2 linked regions of the Tribolium castaneum genome follow. The protein of the gene in region 1 purifies or fractionates together with the protein of each later gene. This does not show direct contact. Links are inferred from orthologs where the notes say so. Each region holds a gene or a part of one and is shown on either strand. Other genes may lie near its edges.

Region 1 (11,970 bases):
AATATTTTGGTGTTATCAAAGACTAAGCTTTTATTTTGTTTGGTGAGGAAATCATTTCGCTGAAAAAACGCCCACGTCATTTGGTCAAAAAACAAGTGTCCCAATTACGATTTCGATATTTTCGGTAAAAGTCAATTTGGAGAGCAGGCCTTTGATTATGTTATAAAGACTCATTAGCAGCAGACTTTTCGAGTTGTTGTCCTCCTCCAGCTCTTTGATTTTAGTTAACGATAATTTGTGTCTCTCATAAAACTGTTTCATCTTACTCTTCAAACACTTTACTTGTTCTAGAATTTTGCCGAATTCCGAAAACTTTCCATTGCCAAAAGTCGAACTTTCCTACAAATTATTTCATGTATTTTTCGCCCCACAAACAACGACCGTCGTTCAATTATGCGTATATTTAACAATAACATAAAAAGTATAACTAAAGTCAGTCAATGCGGCCTTGGCCGGAAACTTGATCAAAGGTTTTATTAAAACTCGTCACAGTAAACTTTGATTTTTCCTTGACCGGAACCTCCGTCAAATACGAGGGAACACTTTCTGTCTTGCACAAGTTCAAATCCTTCCTTTCACTTTTTTTGCTTTCATCATTGATAAAAATCACAGTCGAATATTTGGGTTTTTCGCACGTGCGATTATGTCGAATCGTTGTCAAGACGGTCTTGTCGCGACTTTTCCATTTTTTTAAAGGGAATTCGGGACAAATCTGGAGGAAAAAAGGAGTCTCGGGGACAAAATAGGGGTTCCTCCCACTTACTTGTTGCTTCAACTGTTTAATTTCCTTCCGCAACTCTTTGATTATATCGTCCTTGAAGGCTGTTTGTTTATCAGCTTGGACGCACCGTTCCTCCAACTGTTGAATATCTTTTTTAAGGGCCGAAATCATGTCGTGCTTACAGGCCACTTCTTCGGTCAGAGCACTTCTCATATCCAACATTGACTAAGAAAATTTATTAATCCATTAACAAGTGGAATAATTGATCACTCACCTGCCTGAGTGCTTCATATTCGATTGTTTTCCTTTTCAACTGTTCAAAAACATCACCGCATTTGTTGTTCTCATTTTCGTCAACCGATTCGCTTAAATCAAGTGTCATTTTTTATTTAATTGCTATACAAAGTTACTTACTCGGCTTTCGCCTCGGACGGTGTTCCCTACAATAGAATAGATTAATTAAAACAAGGAAAGCGTGGGGAATGTTGTATTTAAAAGCCGATTTTTTTACAATTGTTGTACAAAAGTGCAGGACAACAACGACAGGGGTTACAAGGACTTATTGCACGTTTGGGAGAGTTGTGACGACACCTACACTTGTCTTTAATATTTTGCTTATTTCGTTTATCTACCACTTGTAGAATCAATTTTAGTGTTTTTTTGCCTACCTTTCTCTTATTTGCGTCTTTGGAAGCGACCGGAACCAAATTTCTTTCCCTACAATTAAAAAATAATTGATTAAAATAAATTACTCTCAACGATTTTTCTGTTTAATTAATGAGATTTGGACTTACTTATTGTCATTGCTATCGTACTGTTCTTTGCCAAACAAATCTTTATAAGTGATGTCATAAAACTGCAGTCCGTCGATACTCCACTTGCGGTCCTCCCTAATTCTCCTGATAAACTCCAGTAAGTTTTTCAAATCATTTTCCAAGTAAAAAACTTTCTGGAAAGGCTCATCTAAATTGTGTGTAATACTGTAGTTTTGGTACCTTTTCATCACCTGCAGAAAAATCCCCACTGTATCACTCAACAACGATTTCACTGTAGGCGAGGAAAATATCGAAAGTGCGCCCGGAAAAGCCGCGAAAAACGCCCGAAAAAATCATTTTGTTTCTGATTTGAACTTACTTCATAAGCACTTTTGGAAGTTTGCCGCAACTTATCCTCAAGCATGCGGACCCTGTTCGTGGCCTCATCTTCCAGTTCTTTGACAATTCTGGCCATCATTTGCGTCTGTTCGGTGAGATCGTCGATCCATCTCCTCTGGACCTTGAGTTTGAGCTGTGAAATTTAAATTTAGCGGGTTAGTAAAGATGGCGCTCGGAATGGTGTCAAGAGCAGGCCACACCCACCGCCCCTTGGAAAATGGGGTTAAGGAAAGGGGTAGAAGAACGCACCTCGAGACAGTCGCCGCCCCCTTGGTGGTCGATCTCGTTGAGTTTGTTCTCGTAGAAGCTGCGGAACTGCTCCATGACGTCGAGGGCGTCCTGCTCACCGCATTTTCCACTGGAGGCAAAAACAGGGCAAACGTCCCTGTCGGTGTTGGATTTGGACATTTTTTCAGCGAGGGAAACGTAAAATTTGAATTTTCGTGCTCTTGTTGATTTAGTGGTGCGATATGGACGGCATGTTTTGACGTTTGTGTGCCCAGCTCACTTTTCCCCACTACGTCGCCTACTGCGTTATTGGGGACGAAAATAGATCGGGACCCCAACTAAGGGGGGTCCGAGAAGAGACAGCAGTTGAACTGAATCTTTGGGCTTATGTTCAGCAAAATTAAGAGTTTTTTAGGCCTTGCACTTTTTTAACGCCTTTTTTCCTTATCGTCTTAATTTTTTTTAATAGATATAAAAATTGACCATTTTATATGGTTTTTTCTTATTTACGACAAACTTATTCGAAAGAACGAAACTATTTTGATCCATACCTATGCAAAATGATCCCGGGCATCAAGAAAATCGCCAAATTCCCAATAGTTTTTTGGTTATGATTTTTTTTTAATTTTACCTATTTTTGCAATTTGCGAGGAAACTATTAGTCGGAGAACAATAGTCTTTTTTGAAAAAGGTAGATAATGCAAAGAGCTTTCCAACGATAATAAACTTCATCTTGTTATCTCTAATAGTTCAATAAATGTTTCGGGTATTGAAAATCGACAAAAACCGGATTTGAATTTATTTTTTGAGAGTATTGAGGTTCTGTTGTATTTTAACTTACCGCAGCGTTATCTGAGGGTAAACGATTTTGTATTGTAATAACTTTATTGAGTATGATTTACTTCCTGTACAATCAGTTTCTGTGCATACAGAATAATGATAACCATATATAAGCAAGCAAATAAAATTATTAATTAATAATAAATTTAATATATTCAAATATAATACAGTGATACTCATGGATAAAGAGACATCCATACCATACGATATTAGTTTTCCTCATGTTTAAAATCTGTACAACCACCTTACTACATTGTACATCTACTAAATTATATTTATATACGAATGTAGGACTAAAGGCCTCGAGATCGAGCAAGATTTGTCGGCTTCAAGGCCCCGAAATCTTGATAGATCCCGAGACCGGATGACACATGACTTACATAATGAGCGGTTTTTGCTAATTCATTATTTAAATAAAAAAAATCACTACATATAGTACTAAAAGTTTAAAAGTTCCAGTCATGCATCATGTTAAGAATGAAAAGGTTCGAAAAGAACGCGGCGGTTAAATTTTATATTTTTGGACTCGAAAACATTAGGTAATTTGAAAAACACTAAAATACACGCAAGTTGTTACGATTTATAACTTACACCCCACACAAGTATAAATTTTAAATCATCTATCAATTAGATTGACAAAACTTCCTGAAAGCTTACGTGACTCATAATTGCACTTAATCCAAACGCAAAGAACCGAATAAAATTTGACTTGAGAGTGCGTAAATTTCGTCAATCCAATTCTACACTGTCAAATATCAAGTTATTTGAATCACTCTCTAACTCAAAATTATTATCACAAGATTTTAGTTACACCAACTTGCTACATGTATAAATAAAAACGATCCGACTGAAATGCAACCAAGTGAATTGATCCTAGAGAAAGAACGAAAATAAGTGACAGTGTACTGAGTGTTGTAACGGTATTAATAAAGGGCTTCTTATTACACTTATATATCACTAAAGTGCGAGCGCACAGTCCAGTCCCTTCAACTCGATTAAAGACACAAATCCGGGCGGCTGGAGGGGCCATCACTTGCAACAGTTGCCTGCGGCTTTAGCCCCCGTGTCGCCCTCTGCCAGCCTCCTTCCTTGGCCACTCGCACCCTGAGCCGTCGCCTGCTCGTTTTTGGGGAGCTTCTTGGCTGCAAACACGTCACAAATTGAATTTCTTTTGCCCAAACCGTGAAAGCACCGCTCAGCCAAGCTTGAAGAGGCCGAAGACCCTTAACGTACCTATCGCCAAGAAGATATCGTTGACATTCATAGCCGTCTTGGCCGACGTTTCCATGAAGAGCAGCCCGTTTTCATCGGCATACGTCTGTGCCTCTTCAAACTCCACCATCCTCTTATTGGCTAAATCTTGCTTGTTTCCAGCCAAGGCGATGACGATGTTGGGACTCGCCTGTCGCTGGAGTTCCTTCACCCACGTCTTTGCCCGTCCGAACGTATCCTGGTTGGTGATGTCGTAGACGACGATAGCTGCCTGCGCCCCTCGGTAGTACATCGGGGCCAAACTGTGATACCTGCATATTGTCTATCTAAGAAATGTTTCTTAAGAAAATTTAGAGATGGTGACCTTTCCTGGCCTGCAGTGTCCCAGATTTCGAATTTGACGGTGGTGTCGTCCAGACATACGGTCTGTGTGAGGAAGGCGGCGCCGATGGTGCTCTCTTGGTACTCGTGGAATTGGCCTTTGACGAAACGCAAGACGAGACTGGATTTACCGACGGCCGATTCGCCAAGGAGCACCAATTTGAACTGGCAGATTTTGCCCTGGGTTGAACCGTTGGGGCGCTGGGCTGTTCCGGTCCTGTTTGCCATATCGGCTAGCAATGACAAAATTTTATCTATACTAAAATCTGGCCCTTTCTGCCATAAAACCTTGACATGCACAATACTTACTTAAGGTTATTCAATTTCAATTCAAGTTAACCTCTAGATGCCTACCACACTAAATAAATTCAATAACAACTTTTAGGATATATTTGATTATTGGTTTCGGGTTTTTAGTCATGAATAATCCGATTTGTAATCCAAAACGTCGACTTAAAATAAATATTTTCAATAATTGTCCGAATTTCGTTATTCAGTCCTTTTTCCAAAGCCTTTTAATTTCCATAAATGAAGTCAAAGGATATCATGCATACGATTCATTACCATTTTAACTAAAAAGTCACTATTTTGCACCCAAGGGGTCAAATTCTGGTTGTTTTCAAAGAAGCAAAGGTTAATAAAACACAAAATTGTGACAACAGTTTAATTATATTTTCTAAAAAAAAATAATAGAGGAAAAAAATTATCCAAGTATTTCCTATCTTATCAAATAATGTGCTCGAAAAATAGACAGTTTTATCGTAAGATGTTTTGGGAATTCCCTTAACTCTTTCAATTCAAACCTAAAAATATCATGTTTTACAAGCGTAACAGTGAGATTGGTGACTTCTGAACCAATCATGACTCTTAATATTCAGATATTTTAATTTATAAATCGATTTTTCTGACACAAATTTAAAACAGTTTTGGGTGAGGAAAGCGCCCGTTTGGCCTGGCCTGTGGTTTTATTTTATTGTTTATTTTATTTTTGATATGAATTAATCTAATATCAAAGAAATAAACTGTGTAATTTGGCGGTTTCCGGTTGGAGTATTACTAACTGCTATAGAAAATGCATTCAGTTATTGCATAAATTATTGATTTTTTATTGAAAATCCAGTCAAGGATTATAAAAACGTGTAATAATTTTCCAAATTAATAAAAAACGGATTCGTTGGCCTCTGGCTCAAAGTTTCCGATGCAACAAAACAAAGTCTCATTTTGCATACTTTGATAAAACATTCATAAAACAAACAAGAAATTTAATGATGTGTTTTACATTTTTGTAAACATTTTAAACGCTCAAATAAAATTCTATTCTTCCAGTGTGAAAGATAATGTTGCAAAAACAAGGTAATTGATAAACCATTCATTAGATAATATTTTATTAATTAAATTTCTTCATTAAAGCAGGTGGGAATGTTGAAAGTGATATTTATTTTTATTTCACAACGCTTTAGTAAACAGTGTGTGAGGTAAGAGGGTTTAAACAGCTAACAATTAATAATGAATTTGAATAAAAACGTATTTATTTTGGGATCATTGATAAGTTCAAAATCAATTGTTTGTGAACAGAGACGTCACTTCCCCTAACTTACGATAAAACAACCACCCTTGGTATAAATTCAGCTTTCTTTCCGTTAATCGGATGACTAATCTGAATGTTATTCATAACAATAACAGTGGCATTGGAGGGAAAACCTGGCACAGGAATAATTTCAGAATAATCAAATAATGCAATGTTACATCCGGCCTTGTAAAGCATGAAAGCACGTCTCCGCGAGAATTCACCAACGTGAAGAGATTCAGGTCTTGTGTGTGAAAAAATGAGTTATCGCACTTGGTCGAAATTTTACAAGTTTGTTCTGCGATTAATACAATCTCTTATCTCTGGTAAATGTTCTGGTAGTTGTCGAGTGGTCATAACTACGTTCGTAATTATCTGTTTATGCAAGCCAGTCTGTGCGGCTTTAATCCCCGATAGGGGCTTCACAGCAATGACCTATAACACATAAGAGAGCTGATAACCGTGTCGTGGAATTAAAAAAGAAGGGGGCGTATGGCTCTCAAGGCTCCGGGGTTCAAGGGCGTCGTTGTCCGAAATCAGCTGACTTTTCAGGGGCCCCGCGAACGCCTCAATCAACAGGTCCAGGACCCCGTTACAATCCGACACGAAACATTGAGATTTACTTTAATGCGAATGACGCATTTGACATAATAAAAAAAACATCGTCTCCACTCATCTAACCTACCGACTTGGCTCTAGCTACTTACTTTGGTTAAATAGCTCACGTTGCACTAATACGATTACTGTTTTTCTTCCTCATAAAAATACCTTTGATCGGATTTATTGTTTTTAACACGATAGCACCAATTTACTACACAATGAACAAAAATTAGTGACACACAAAATGACAGCTCGGACCCGACGAAACTGCTTGCCAACCTCGCCAACAAAAACCACCAAGCCTTGTTCACCCAAATTTTCAGTTAAAACTAACCCAAAATTAAAATTTTCACCCAAATTTGTCTCATTTTAGCAAAAGCACAAACACGCAATTTAATTAACACCCACATTTCGTCAAAAAAAATGCCAAAAGTGTGGGTTTGACTAAGCGCCAAATTCAAATCTGGTAACTTTAAGGAATCAAACACAAGTCACAAATAAAAATATTTATTCAATACAATTTATGTACAAAGTAACTTATCTCCTACTCTTATGCTTCCTCTCGGGGCTCCTACGCCGCCTCCGATCGTCTCGATCGCGTGACCGTCTCTCATTATGTCTGTGTTTCCTCGCATCTGTTTTTCGTTTTTTATCATCGTCTGATGCTTCTTTTGTCGGTTTTTTCCTCTTCTTTTCTTCCTTCTTCTTACGTGGTTTCTCATCTTCGGAACTTGACGAATCCGAATCACTACTATCGGAACTGGATGAGCTTGAACTGCTAGTGCTACTGCTGCTAGAATCACTTGATTTTTCAGTAATCGTCAAGGGATTGACTTTAGGGGCTGTTTTCAAATGTTCCCTCAACTCGGCCGTAAGCCCCCCTAAGCCAATCGACGTGAAAAAATTAATCGCAAATCTTGTATTTTTGGGATCATCGCGCGGAAACAGCCCCTCAAAATGTGGCTGAAGCGTTCTGAAAAAAATCCAAAAAATTAACAAAACCTCGTTAATTATCAAACACAGTCACTTACGCATCTTTAAGCCTGGCATTTAACTTCTCCAAGCCCATATATTCGGCCAATTCCTGGAACAAAATCTTGATGAAAATCCGATTGGAACTATTGGTATCCTCTTCGTTCAGTTTCATAATTTCTAAAACCTCCCATCCAATCGCATCGGTGAACAACAAATGTGCGAAAAACTTGCTAACATTTCGCAATTTATTTGTGTCAAGTCTGTGTGTTGTGGCGTACGTGTCTTTGAAGATTTGTTGGAATGGCTCGACATAAATCTGATTCACTTGACAAAATCTCTGTGCCAATAATCCGTAAAACTTCTCGTAAGTCCGTTGTTCGGCACAACAGTCGAGGAACATGTGGCATAATTCGATTTCTTGGCCCGGTTTCAGTTCCATTTTCATTAGTTTGTGGGCACTTTCCTCAAAATCTAAACTTGATTGGATGGTTAAGTAGATTGTTCTGCGTAGGGCCACGAGGTTGGTCTCCGTATTGTCGATTATGTTGGATTCGTTCTTTTGGGCGCCTTCTTCTTCCTCTTCGTCCTCGTCTTCGTCGTCTTCCTCGTCACCGGACTCTTCCTCCGAGCCGGAGCCCGACTCGCTGTCCATGTCCAGGATTTCCTTGCTCAAAGTCTTGTACTTCCCCTCGTTTTCCTCGTAGTTGTCGTCGAATTTAAACACATCTAGACAGGATAATCACAGAGTGAACGAGGCAAATTAAGGAATTAATTAATTAAAATTTCAAAATAATTTTTTCTGAGAAATAAAAAAATAATAATAAAAAATCTCAAAACCTGGATACCCCGATTTTTTTGTATAAAAAATTAAGTACAGTTCCACCTAATTAAAAAGTTTCCTTACTTAAAATATCCTCAGCATTTGATTGCTTAACATCATCCAGCGTAATCAAATGTGTAAACTGGTGCTCCTCATCCACCAAATCCAACTCTTCAATAACAGCGGCATGATCCTTAAACCCGTCCTTCCTGATTTGGAACATAACTTCAATCATGTACTGAATCCTCGGTTCCAACTTCCCCTCATGTAAAATATTCCTCAACATTTCAAAGATGGCATTAATGCCTTTACTCGAAACCTCAGTCAATTTCTGTCCACATTCCTTCAGAAACGAAATCGCAACTTCAACCGAATCATCAGTTGGCGTCTCCACCAAAAGAGTCAAAATCTCCAAGGCGAGAATTTCATGCGCAACCCTCTGATTAACCAAATGAGCCACAAAAGTCGTGGCCGAAATGCAGATAATTTTATTATTCTGCTTGAAACCGCGCTTGAATTGCAAAACCAAACGTTTCAGTAACAATTCTCCAATATTAGGGAATTTCGAATTGATGACAGCGACCAGGGCTGCGTACACGTTTGTGAAAGTTGGGGACGCAGCTTGCGCTTGTATTATGGACTTGCAGAGCAGTCCGCGCCCCCTTACCACATTCTCATGGAGCAATTCCCGCGAAATAATCCCAATGTTGGACGTATTCACCTTGTTAATAAACCCATGAATGGATTTTTTTAACGCCTCCCACGCAATTCTTTGATACGCCGCCGAGCTCTTATCAGTAATCTCCGCTTGCATCATCCGCAGCTTCGCTGGAGGGATGTAAGCCCCACCTGTCCGTGTCAGTAAATCCACGGTTTTGCGCTCACGGGGGGCTATCACCGACTTATCCGTCTCCTTCTCAGACTCTTTGTCTTTATCGTCGGGCTCGCCCCCGTAATACCTACTACCCACCTGATGGTCATCCTTGCGGGGGTATTTGGTCCAATATCTATCGCTGTTTTTCTTGTGTTCTTGATCCTCGCCGTAATACCGAGGGTATTCTTCAAGGGGGCGGTCCAAGTCGTGGTATTTGCGACTTTTGCGACGGTCTCGTGAACGCGAACGGCGGGAACGCTTCCGGGAGTCTTTATGGGGCGAGTCGTCACGACGTTTTTTACGGGATTCAGGGGATTTGGAGCGGCTTTTACGCTTGGGTTTGGGCTGTGGGGAGGTTTCGGTGTCGGTGGTCATTTTTTAAGCACTCACAAAAACACAGTAAGAAATTGGGGCGATTATTGACAACACACAACAACGCAAGAGGTTGAGGTTATGTGGCACTGGTGATAATGACAAATTCCCTACTATTTTTGAATTTTAAAGTCGCCAGATTTTTTTGTGCATTTAGAATAAATTATAATTAATTATATGTACGTGTTTACGCAATTATAACATAACTAGAGGGCCAGGAATTGGTGGTTTTATTAATTCCAGACATATTTGAAAATTTACAGACTTACTAAATTAGTGACAAATCTAAAATTTCAAAAAAATTTGAATGTGATTTTGGGGGTCACGTTTGCCTAAAAAATATATCACGACCTGGGAATTTTGGGATTTTAATGATCTTTAAATGTTAAATAAAAGAAAACTAGATGATGTAACGTTTAGCTATTGATAGAAAACAAAAAGTACCTACATGGAAGTAATTTTGGCAAAATTTGTTACTTTGGAACCTTAAATATTGATTTAAAAGTTCAAAACAATAAAATTTTAAGTAGAGCATGTCTGAAAAGTTTGCTATTTTTTTCTTGTATTGTGTATTGTTTGTTTGTAGATTAACATATAATACGTGTTATATTTTATGATAACATTTCAGGCAATTGAGAAGACAAGATATGATATTGTAAAATTGTGAAATAGTCAGAACCTTATGGTTCTCAGGTCGCGATATTTTCAGAATATTTACTTCGACAGCGACTTTTAATGTGTTCCCATAAAATGAATAACTTGACACAGACTTTCGCTTTTTCTTGAAGAGAAATGGCTGTTGGTGCAAAAACAAGCAAAAACCGATAATAGTGGCTAATAACAGCTCTAGCGTACAATTAAATTTTTATGGCACAATAACAAGTTCGATCAAAGATTTCTCAACAATACTTCCGCGGTGAAAAGAGCGTTTTTACGGCATACTGAAAGTGTTACAAGGTATTTTATTCAGTTTGTGGATTTTAAAAAATCGGCGCGGAGAACGATAAGGTCACGCATTTTAATTTTGCGGAATTTCGCGGAGGCCTCCCATGAATATGTGAAATGTTTGCGTGTACCATATTTTATTAAACAGTTTGAACAATAAACAGTGCGAATGCAGCGTTTTCGAGGCATCAAGGTCACTGCCAAGTGAACTTAAACCCAGCTCCAGCTGTTTCAAAGATCGACCAACGAAACCAATCCGTACAAAAGAGCCCGAGGCTGCTTTATGGAGAGTACCCATGCTATAGCAATTCAGTTGGTTCTCAACCTTTCGGTGCCGATACCGTGCGCGTTCTCCTCTCCCATTTTTCCAAAATTTTGCCCAATTTTTGGTACTTTTTCTAAGTAAAAAAGCGTGCCGGGTTGGTGTAGGTGCTAAAGGTGCTGGGCCCAAGGTTGCGACTTTTGTTAATCATCTTGCTTGGAATAATTACAAGTGGAACTTGCAGTCATGGTAAATAATTATTTCGCACAAATCGCTCTTTTTTTAGAAATTAATTGACCACTCGCTTGAGTAGTTAGGGGAAAGAATTTTAATTATAGTTTTGGGTGCAGTTCCGATAAAAAGGTCACAAAAGGGTTATCGTAAAATGCGCAACAAGACCGAAAATAAGGCCTCCAAAAGTCGTCTCGTTGCTCTAATCGCAATAATGAGTAAACCTTTTAGTGGTCAACTTATCGACCCAAATAAGTCATTAAAAAACCACTTATCGTTACTCATTTTAACATGTTTCTGCAATAATTACTAATTAGTTTTCGTCGAAAAATTGTATTGTATTTTTTTGGGTCGTGGAATTATGTAAACGTGATGTCATTTGTTTAACATTTAAAAGAAACATTACCATAAAAATATTATGCACCTCCAAGCATTAGCATGTGTCGCACTAAAAGCTAAAAATATCGTCTTTATGGGCGAAGCCTTCCAGAGGCATCAAAGACCTTTCGGTGGCTGCTTCCGAAACTATTTTACCTGAGTTTATGAATTAGCGCCACTGAATCAGGTGTGATCTTCAACAATGGTCGAGGAATTTTAATGTGATTCTGATTGTCATTTTTATTCTAATTAAAAAACATTGAGTTTGTTTTCTCCGTCAGGGTCAAATGTTAGTGTTTACTTTAGCAGTGTGAATAACAAACACTGCCAAAATTTTTGACGACTACGAGGGCGGTCATTCAAAACTAATTCCTTCGTGTAAATAAACCCATCACGTGTTTGTCCATTGT
Region 2 (11,203 bases), on another chromosome or scaffold:
AGCCTTGAGTGCCTTATTATAATCCACCCGCGCGTGTCGTTCACTTTGCGAAACGATTTAGGCCTGAAAGTTGTTCTTTCAAGCGTTGCAACACCAGATATTGCAAGCTCTTTCAAAACAATCCACCCTGAAATAGACGAAAACGAATTCGCTTTGCTCAAAGTTGGCAAAAATAAGACACGCGTTGAAGGTCTCATCTACAAACAGTTGCACGAAAACAAGCGCTTGCAGTACTTGTATGTCAATAAGAGACCGGTGAACTCGCCCAAAATCCTCAATTTTGTCAATGCGCTTTTTAAAACCGTCCCCAAAACTGATCCGAAGAGGAAGAACCCCGTTTTTGTCATACACATCAAGTGTCCCTACTCCGACATTGATATCACTCTAGAACCAGCAAAGACGCTTGTGTTCTTCAGAAAAATTGATCTTGTGAAGCGATGTCTCCAAAAAATGATCAGTACATTCAAAGGGGGTGATTCCGAAATAGTGGCCAAGAAAACGCACAGGCCTTTGAGTGAGTTTGGCGTGTCCCAGATAGGAGGGGCTGTGAAAGGCTTCGGGACGAAGCGCAAAAGTGAGGATTTGGAAGAGTTGGTGTCGAATAAATCGGCGAAAATTGTCGAGGATACGCCCTATTTTGAGGAACCGAGGGTTGTGTCCAAGCAAACGAAGGTGGCTTTGCCCATTGAGGTGAAAAAGGGGGAGAAAAGGGAGAGCGAAGGTATAATGGATAATAGCCTCTATACCAATTACCCTGATAACGAAAAGAAGGGGAAAGACGTGATTATGGATATGTTTATAATGTCACTGGACGTGTTCCCGCCTGAAGATAAGGCTAATGAAACTGAACCCGAACTAAATAATGTAGTGGATATGGAAACTACTTTAGATAAATCACCAAATGAAAAAAATGCTCTTTCCCAAAAATCTCCGATTAAGGAGAATATGGTTTCAGTGGGTATTCAGGCAGGACCGGGGAACATACCGGTATTTGGGGTCACACCACGAAAAGCTATGTCTAAATATGTGTCTGACTATGATTTTGATTTTTCCAACGTCGAAGCTTTACCGACTTTTCATTTTAAAACGCCAGATTTGCCCACACATTTCAATCAGCCGAAGAAATTGTTCGATTTTCGTAATACAAGGCGTAGCAGTTTTAATATTTTTGCTAATGAAAACACGTTTGATCAAGTGAGGCAATCGCCGTATTTTGCTAAGAAGGCCAAAGCTAGCAAATTTGAGATTGATTCGAATAAAGAGAACTGGTCAAATGACTTGGATAATACAGTTGATTTTAAGTTTATTAAAAAAGACAATACGAAAAGAATTTTGAACGAATCACATACTAGTAAATACTTCACGCCTCAAAAATCTAAGAGTTGTAAATTAAGGGTTCAAACCCCGAAACACACCCTTTTGGAAGAGTCGCGAGATTTATTTGATAAGTCATCCGAAAGTGGGCTTTTAATAACCCTGGATGAGGAAATTGAGAAAAACAAAACTGAGGATATTGTCATAGCCCCCACATTTACGCAACATCAGAACCTTTGGTTAAGGAAAACTGGCAACGACATTACTTTTGAAATGACCGAACGCTTTGACTTTGTCCCCAAAGGCCTGTCTCCGATTTTGAAAGATTGTGGCAAAGTGGACGACATGAGCCCCAAATCGAGGCAACAGCTACAAAATGCGCTCGTACAATCGTACGAAGACGAGTTGTTGATGGTTAAGTGGCAGAAGTGTCTTGATGATGGGGGTAATTGTTTACGAAACGTTGCCTTGTCACATGAACGTGTTACAGATCCGAAGAAATTCTTCGATGAAATTTATGTGGAAAAGTCGAGATTAATCGAAAGTGAGGTTCCTAATGCGTACAATAGACATGTCAAGGATTTTGAAAATATAAGCTTCACGAAGGATTTATTCAAAAATGTTGATATTATCGGCCAGGTTGATTGCAAATTTATTGCAGTGTGGGAACGGACGAGGAATTTGGTTGTGTTGTTTGACCAACATGCTGTGCACGAGAGGGTGCGTTTGGAGGAGCTATCGGAAGGTCGTGTCACACTTGTGTAAAAACTTCAACTGAGATAATTACAGGTTACAAAAACGCATCCACGAAACTTGACCAAGACATTACAATTTTTTTGCCACAAAGTGACTTAACGCTCCTCAAGCGACAAAAAACTAATCTCAAGTCGCTAGGTCTCGTTTTGGAGTTTTTCACCAACGGGTTGACCATTTATCAAGTGCCGCTGTGTCTTTACAACAAGTCGAAAAAAGGGGTACATTTGGTTGCACTTGTTGTAGTAATTGTCACAGTTTTGTAGGTCGATATTGTGTTTTTGACTCAGACTTTGATCAAAGAAATTGTTGATCTTTTGAAAACTAACAACGAAATTATGGTAAATACTCCGAGTCTTATACAAAATATCGTCAATTCCGAGGCTTGCAGAGGTTTGCCGATTGACAAATTAATTTTAGTGTAAAACTATTTTTAGGTGCAATTAAATTCGGAGATTCTTTGACCAAAAACGAGTGTTTTGCACATTTGAAAAATTTGGCAAAGTGCAAGTTGCCGTTTCAATGCGCTCACGGAAGACCGACACTCACTCCCTTAATTTTCCTCAATCGATTCTATGATGAAGAGGTCGCAAAACCAAATTTGCACAATTTAAGAGAAAATTGATTTTTGTTATTTAATTATGTATTAATTAAAAATATATTTTGGTAAATAATAATAGATACAGTGCAATAGTGTGACTAGTGAACATGCAGTTAATAAATAATTACAGTATTTCATATTTGTTCAGCACCAAGTTCCAAAAAATGGGTTAATTTATTTAGCTATCTCTCGTCAATTGTTGCTGTTTGTATGTCTCCTTCAACATTTTTAAATTCTCCTGAAGCGAGGCCACTTCTTCAAATCGTTGCGCTTTCCGTGCTTGGTCAATATAATTCCGCACAATATTCATTTGCTCAATTAGCGGGTCCTCAGTTTCGGTATTTTCATTACTCACAGCTGCAGGTGACCAACCTGTGGTCACTGTCACTCTTTTTATGTTCGTTTTGACTGCCAATTGATTCTCCTCTTCAGTGTTCCTCAGAGAGCGTTCGCGTTTAATTCTCTCGAGTTCTTGGACAGAAGGGGGCGCTGGTAGTGTTAATAAATAGTCTTTAATGTAATGAGAAGTCCCCCGTCTTATACTATTTTGTAGTAGTTCGACTTTAGGCGTTTCTTCGTCCACAGGCAAGGATGCGATTTTTTTACTCAAAATATCAATTGATTCGGCTTTTTTGGCAATTGAAGCCCTTAAAGATTGAGTGTCTTGCAGTTGAAACGTGGTCTCACCGGACGTTAGGGAATTGTACATTTTTAAATACAAATCAACGGAGCTCTGAGTTTGGGATTTGAGGTTTTGTAGGTGGTTGTACAATTGGCAAATTATTGGTTGTCTCATTTGTTCGAGTTGCACGCGTCTGCGACTCTCGAGCATGTCGAGGCAATGGTTGCAAATACGGAGGCTGTCTGGTTCCTTACCTTGGACTTGCTCCCGGTTGTTTACGTCCACGTTGTGAACGGGGGCAACTATCGCTTCTGGAATGAAAAATTATACTGTATCTTGGTGTTTAAAAAATGACTTACGAGCCGTCTCATATGGCAAAAAATAGGAACACGCGTTGCACATAATGCTTCCACATAACCTACAATGGTGCTGTCTCCTTGTAATATTAAAACTAGACGCACATGAAGGACAGCGTGTCACTGTGGAACCATCCAACCAAGCCACCAACTCCTGCTCTTGCTGTTTACGATCCGACCCATAGAACCTCAACAACCTATCCAACCTAATAATAAGTTTATTAGTTTCGGTGGTTCGATGATCGAGTCGTTCTCTACGAACGGCTTTGAAATAATCAGTGTGACTCCGGATCTGACCGGGTTCTTGCGGCTCACTTATCTCTAAATAATACTTTTCTAAGGTGATTTCATTTTTGAAAACTTCCAAGTCTTGTTCGTCAAGTTTTAATATCTTTTTCTTGGCTTTGCCGTACAAATCTGTGAAAATTGAACGTTTAAGTGTTGAGAACAGCTGACATAACCTCACCTTTGATGGATTTTAGGATGTCTTGTTCTTCGGAATGTAAGTCTTGGAAGTGGGCAATCAGATTGTTCGGGGAACGCAAGTCTTTGTGGCAAATGGGGCACAAGAAGCCCTCTTTTATCAAATTTGCTTCAGCCATTATCGCTTTACAAACATGTCAAACTGACGTTTAATTGACATTTGACAACGTAATACGAGTGATTGAAAATGACTGTTTGGGTTGGCAACCTTGGATTTTGTTGACTGACTTCTGCTGACTGTCATTTTTTTTGTTGACGGAAATAAAAGGCGCGCGATTATCTCATGTATTTATTTACAAATTAATTTTTTAATGTAACATTATTTACAGATAACTTGCTGTTTTATTTCTTATCAAATACAGTTTTATAAATTCATTGCAATAAATTATGTGATACAGAGCTCTGTAAAAATATCATACATTCGAATGCACAGTAGTAAATCTAAAATTAATAACACCTACAAATTAGCGACAAAGTTAGATTTTCCATAACAAATTGTACAATCAAATGTTACATTAGATATATAATTTTACAATATGGTACAGTGTATTAGTAAAAAACTGCTTCACGCATACCCCGACAATAACAACATCAACAAAACATCTAATGATACAACTGTAAAGCCGGAAAAAAATACCACTCAGTATTTTTTCTCCAACTGTACGTAAAACAAGGAATATTGAGACTGGCCAACAAAAACCATGTGAAAACTTCGATGACTCTCGAGTGAGATCAACGCAAAGTGGCGATATGTGTTGAAATTTTGATTTTGATTAAATTGAGATTCGTTCTGGCCACTTATTGTGATGATGAAAAACCAAAAAAGTGATTGTTCGTTTTGTTCGTTCCTTTATCGTCCTGAAATTGTAGCCATGATGGTGGTGGTTACTAGGGTGGTGGTCTGCACAGCCGCCGAATCAGTCCTTGGTGGTGGTAAAGGAGGAAAGAGGTGAGAAGGGGTGTGAGAGCGTTTAGGGGCGGAAGCGGCGACGGCTAGTTGTGGGGGTGTTAGGGACTGGCGGGAAGGCTCTCGTCGCTTTCGAGGTAGGTAACGTAACTATCGGTGCTGTCGGGATGCGTCATGACGTCAGACGGCGGCGCTGATGAGGGCAGCATACCCGGGGGTGGGCCGGTGGCGGGGCCCATCGACGGGGGCGGCAGGTCGTACCCATGCATCTGTTGGACAAAAATTATTAGCAATATTACAAATTACGAAGAGAAAAACTTCTTTCATTAAAAGAAAAACGTTAAAAATTATCATAAATGATTGGAATCCTGACTTTCTTCAATTTATTTTCATTCGACTAGTTTCGCCTGTTACGGCATTATCAATAACGGCACAAAAACACAAACATAAAAAATTAAAACTTTGTTTTCCATACTTAATAGGTATCTCTTGACTCACTGGACGATGAAATAATAGTTCCGAGAGTTGTAATGTTTCAAAAAAATTTCAAATAAAGCGGAAAATAACATTTTGTAAAAATTTTCTTTACGTATAACAGCTTTAGCAAATATTTCCTTTGTCTCCTTCGTGCTGGACAATGGCTTGTAAGTAAATTTTAATAAATAAGTATTTAAATAGTTTGCAGTTTCTTCTTTTTTTTTCTTCGACTTATTTCTCCTACGAGTATCCGTTATTTTATTGAAAAAATGACATTCTCATATAAAATTTCTCTTTCTCAAGTGCATTTTTTTTCATAGCTACATTTCTAGATATTATTGAATAGAATAAACACTTCATTTTTGCACGAGAAGCGAAATAACACGGTATAATCTAGTTATAGAAAAATGAAACATTAATTAATTAAGCAAATTTTAAGACCGTCGCACCGCATGTAAGAATTGTCAGCCAAACAACCAACTAAGTAGTACCTATATGACGGCTTTATTAGGTATTGCAGCTGAAAATAAAAAATATTTTGTTGACTGAAAGCTATTGCCTAAAATAATAATTTTATGGATTATTGAATAGGTACCTACCTATTATGTCTAAATCACAGCAATTTATTTTACAGATATTTATATTACCTATGCATGAAATAATGTTTTCTCTTGTCTTAATTTTTTACTGTTATGCCTTAAATTAGGCGAAGCAAACAAGCAGTGATTAATTTAATAACCGATGCAAAATTTTCCTTCTGATGTAATAATAAAATAAAGTATGTGGCGATGGGGGAATTTGCTTATTACCTGGTTGACGAGCTGCTGGAAGGCCGGCTGATGGGGTTGCTCTAAGTCTGCATGAAGGGCGAAATCTGATAGGGCTTTCCATGGTGGTTGGTAAGCTTGTACTTCAAGGGGATGGACACCGATGGGTGAATCGTGTCGTACAGGTGATGACGCTACCATTGGGATACCCTGCATGGCACCGTAACCCAATTTTCGCCCATCCTGCACGTAATACTGGGTTATGTTAGACATTAAACGGGAAACATAAAAAAGTACAATTTTACAACGGTACAAACAACAACCAGAGCATTAAATATTTGTTAATTTAACTGGAATTATTCTTCAACCGCCATCCGTTTTCTCATACCACCCATAAATAACATGCCGAGACAACAAGGGGCATGCAATGAGAAGTCATCTTCTCCAAGGTTAAAAAACTAGTTTGAGTCATGTTTGCGATTTAAATGTTGGGCCAGTGAGTGCCAACCGAAAGACACGACCCCCTCTATATCCCTCAGAAAAAAGCGAAATCGACCGGTTGAGCTCATGTGTGACGCAGACGATTGGTTGACGACGAGAGGCGGGGACACGCTCAGCTGATAAGAAACGCCTCCTGAGATTTACGACGTGAACGACCTGAGAGGTGGGGGGTATTCAATTATAGACTGGGCAATCTGTTGGGATGCTACGCCACTAATCAATAATAACACGGTTGTGTGTACGGCTGTGCGACACATTGACTTGCCCCAATGGGATTGTAAAAACAAGAAACTTTCTTTTTCGACTCATTTTTAATACACTTGTGGAAAAATAAACCACGACTCTTTGGTAAAGGTACTATTTTTAGGGAGTTACGATTAGTACTCCGCGCTAAAAGTTGTAGTACAGTGAGTTACAATGTTAAGGTTTAACAAAGAATATTTGTAATGAGGTACGAGTATAATACACTAGGTATTGAGAAAATTCATTAAACTGTTTTAATGTTTGCCTTCAAATAATCCCAAGGCTTTAACACAACACGTTTTGAATTCGAATTTGACAGAAACACAAAATTTGACAGGTGCAAAATCGGCGGAGGAATACTACCAACCTATCTAATACACCAAACACCCCCCAAAAAGGTAGGTGTATTTTAGTGATTTTAAGAGCCGGTTTATAGAAAGACTTTGTTAAAATTTAATTCGTTGTTAAAAGTTAACTACGCGAATAGACCAATCAAATTTTTCAATTTGGTCACGTGTTGCTTAATGTTGCTTGTATAAAACGACTGAAAGTAATTTTCAAGTTAAAAAATGTTCTACGGCTTTAAAAAGCGACCAAAACTGATTCCAATGTAATTATTTTCGAGATGGCGGAACATCCGGAACTAGGAACTTTGAATTTTTTTTATGAGGACTTTTATCAACAGGTCCTATATCTTTTCTGTCGGTTACACTTTTTGAAATCTTCACGACAAACAGAGTTAGCTCTTTATTTTCATCTTGGAAAAAATGTCGTATCTGACGTATCTGAAGGATCCTTCAGATGGCGGTATTCAATAATTTTCAAACTATAGTGAAATCATCGAATTTTGGACTTTTTGAATGAATGTTTATTCTGCTATTAATTATAGTAGCATTTTTTGGGGCTAATAAAGATGCATAACTAAATACCTCTGTCCTTATTTTAAATAAAGTTTTTGGTTCTTATTGAATTTTTTTAATTTGATTTAATTTTTTTATTTTTACTACACAATTTTAAAGCTTAATTAACAGATCATAGATAATTTTATGACAAAAACTAGCCGACTAAAATCCTAAAATCATAAAAAATTAAAATAGGAAATTGGCTTAGTAATTGGCTTGCATATTTATTTTTAAGTATTTAAATTATATTATAATTTACAATACAAAAATAAAAAATGAAAAAACTCTTACACAAGCTACATCTGTAACACAACTTCCATAACCAAAATTCCATTTTTTTATTACACAACCATTACGTTTCTTTAAAAAATATATTGCAGATGATGGATAAAAATATGGGACAAAGCGCTTTTTGCCTAAACTGCTGCCAGTTTTTGAAAAATAATATTTTTCTAAATTAATTTTAGTTGTCAGGTACTGTATTTTTTTAGCAACCTCTAATTAAATACCATTGGTCGTAAACCATCACTTCTACATGTTTTTTGCACTCACCATTTTTTAAATTATACTCCTGATATATTTTTTGTAAATAAATTGAAAAAATAAAAAAACTGGACCACAAAAAATTGAGCAAAACCAAATTTTTAAACATTTTCCGTTTTATTCTGACAAGTGAGTATGTTTTAGTTCGGACACAAAGAAGATAAGGCATCTCTTAGGGCCATTTCCTAGTACAACGTAACACCAATTTAATTTTATCTGTTCAACAATTACATTACCAGTGTAATTATATGGAACCGATAAACTTTAACTCGGTTTAAATCGTACTAGAAACCAGGTCTTAATGCATTATCACGGTTTTTGTAATGGCTATTTATTGTTAATGTCACAAAAATGTAAATTCTCTAATTACTTGCTGAAAAAGTCAAATAATTACACCATAGCAAATCACATTTTTCCGAAGTGAATTAAATCGGCAAAAAGATAAATGACTCACTTAGGTGTTTTATTTTTTCTAGATGTGTAGCTCCACTTAATTCGTGCTAATGCCGCATTCGAAATAATTGAACTAATTTCATAGTTAATTAAAATTTAACGCCGACAAATTACCTCGCTCACAAAAATACCTAATGCTCTGTTTCTTTGGCTAATTCACTAAAGAAAGAACTAACCTTTTCCTGTTGCATCTGCTGCTTCATAAGCAGGGTCTTTTTTTTGTCCTTGCACCTCTTGTTCTGGAACCAAACCCTGATGACTCTCGGGGAAAGTCCCGTCATTTCCACCAGCTGCTCCTTCATGAGGGCATCAGGCCTAGGATTGGCGGCATAGCACGTCCTCAACGTGTGCAATTGTTTTTCGTTGAGGACGGTGCGCACGCGCGTCGGCTTGCCGTCGCTGCCGCCGCCGCCGCCCCCGGAGCCCTTCCTCAAGCCGCCGCCGCCGCCCTTGTGCGACCCGCTCTCCGAGCCGGAATCTGCAAGCGAAAAATGAATCTTATAGAAAATTCTCTTTGTCCGGATTAATCCGGCACTGGCCGGCGTCCATTAGCAAAGTCCGGTAATTCCGGGCCGAGTCCGGGGATTAGCAAGGCGTGAAACACTGGTCAATGCAGATTAGGCCACTCTTTGTGCATAGGCGAGTGGATGTCGGCTTTACCTTAATCACCCGAATTAACTCGAATTGACGAGGAAATGTTTGGGTGATGGTGTCTTTTAAAGGAAGGGATTGTTTGTTCACCCTTCGGTCAAGACGGTCCAGCTTTGAGTTAAACCCAAGGCAAATATTTAAAAAGTAAAAATGCTCAACCTTGGAGGCTTTACGAAACTAAATAAAACCTTTCTAAACACTTGAAATGACCCGGGACGGACCTCACAACTATTTTAAACACAATTATTGTTTTTTTTTCATCGCCAAGCGTTCATTTGCATGATCTTTGCATGAATATTTCGTTAAGCAAGTTTCTTATACAGTTGCAACAGTTTGATGTAATCAACTAGATCATTACTGACATTTTAATTGGGAGCAAACTGGTTTTAATTGATATTTATTTTTAAAGTTATTTCAATACTTTTTAGCAGATATGCAGAAATGCAGCAAAATGATACCAATGGAATCTTTTTATGGGATGGCTCTTTTTTTAACATTCTAACGATTCCGAATGGACCGCCGTCTGACGAAAGACGGTTTTTTGGTAAAAACAGTCACAACAGAATAGGCAAAAAATATTTCTGATTTTTATAGCGTATACTAAATGCACTTCAAATTGATGTTTCAATTTCTTTAGAAATTTAGACAGCATTATTATTATCACCATAAAAATGGTCCCTTATGCTGCTTAGGTAATAGAAAATCGGTGAGATTTTGAGTACTTAATTGTGAATTAATTTTAATTATAAAAAGGGTAGAAAAATTCGGATAAATTCACACGCTTAGAGAGAAAAAAATGCAATACCATGAAAAAATAGCAATTTTTTTTTTACTATCTTATGTACTGTATTAATAAACGCAAATATATTCCAGAGTAATTAAAATGTACTGTTTTGTTCGCTTTTTTGTGCATTTTTAATATCTGGCTTTAAATTACTCATATCTAAAACATTAAAGTATTTCTGATGAAAGTTTTATTATTTATTATTATTCATTCGTTACTTTCTTTATCGTTGCCTTTATTTTTCTTAACGTTATTAACTATATGATTTATAGTTCTTTTAATAAACAAAAAATTGCATCAAACATAATAATGAGTGTAGATAATTTTTAATGAAAAAGAAAAGAAACAACGTTTTAAAAATGTAACATCTTTATTTTTTCTATTTGTTAACCATGCCAGGAGTTATGAGAAATGATTGGATCCAAAGACACAGAGAAGCCATATAAAAAAACTTGTAGATTTAACTAAAATAAACAGTTTAGGTAAAAAAAAGACTAAAGTACATACTTTTGCCGGACGCTTTATATTGTACAGAGTTAATCTGTTAAAAGTAGGTATATTTTTATGATATCTCAAAAACAATAATTATACACAATTTTGTAAATAATTAACTAAGTAAAATTAAAACTTCAAATAAGTAGGTAGTAGGTAACAATTTTATTATAAATTTTTACTAAAAACATCATTAAACATCGTTGTTTTAAAATAGCACTTAAAATCATGAAATCGTTCATATTTTTTTTATTGTTAGATATTAGTATTTTTTATAAATTAATTTTAGTTATAACGAAAGGTAGAAACAAATTCAAATGCTGATTTCGGTTCGACTAGGTATAACAGTTTTCG

Evidence for each region.
Region 2: the proteins of Rab5 (region 1) and Rbsn-5 purify together in Drosophila melanogaster (affinity purification with western blotting; 3 studies listed by BioGRID, with this or other methods). This does not show direct contact. The link is inferred for Tribolium castaneum from reciprocal best matches to the Drosophila melanogaster genes Rab5 and Rbsn-5.

The regions. Positions count from the first base shown.
Region 1 is NC_087398.1:666,861-678,830, forward strand, and holds Rab5 (ras-related protein Rab-5B), read right to left. Parts: upstream 6,982-11,970; 5' UTR 6,811-6,981; intron 4,770-6,810; 5' UTR 4,765-4,769; coding exon 4,520-4,764; intron 4,467-4,519; coding exon 4,177-4,466; intron 4,086-4,176; coding exon 3,973-4,085; 3' UTR 2,970-3,972; downstream 1-2,969. Other genes in the region: myosin-10, read right to left, coding at 764-946, 996-1,086, 1,136-1,161, 1,390-1,438, 1,516-1,727, 1,856-2,008, 2,125-2,283; ncm (pre-mRNA-splicing factor CWC22 homolog), read right to left, coding at 7,241-7,676, 7,735-8,404, 8,583-9,747.
Region 2 is NC_087396.1:24,289,024-24,300,226, forward strand, and holds Rbsn-5 (rabenosyn-5), read right to left. Parts: upstream 4,303-11,203; 5' UTR 4,249-4,302; coding exon 4,113-4,248; intron 4,064-4,112; coding exon 3,650-4,063; intron 3,602-3,649; coding exon 2,847-3,601; 3' UTR 2,716-2,846; downstream 1-2,715. Other genes in the region: uncharacterized protein LOC103313509, read left to right, coding at 1-1,759, 1,805-2,059, 2,104-2,288, 2,334-2,460, 2,505-2,692; tup (tailup), read right to left, coding at 5,138-5,305, 6,323-6,535, 9,099-9,400.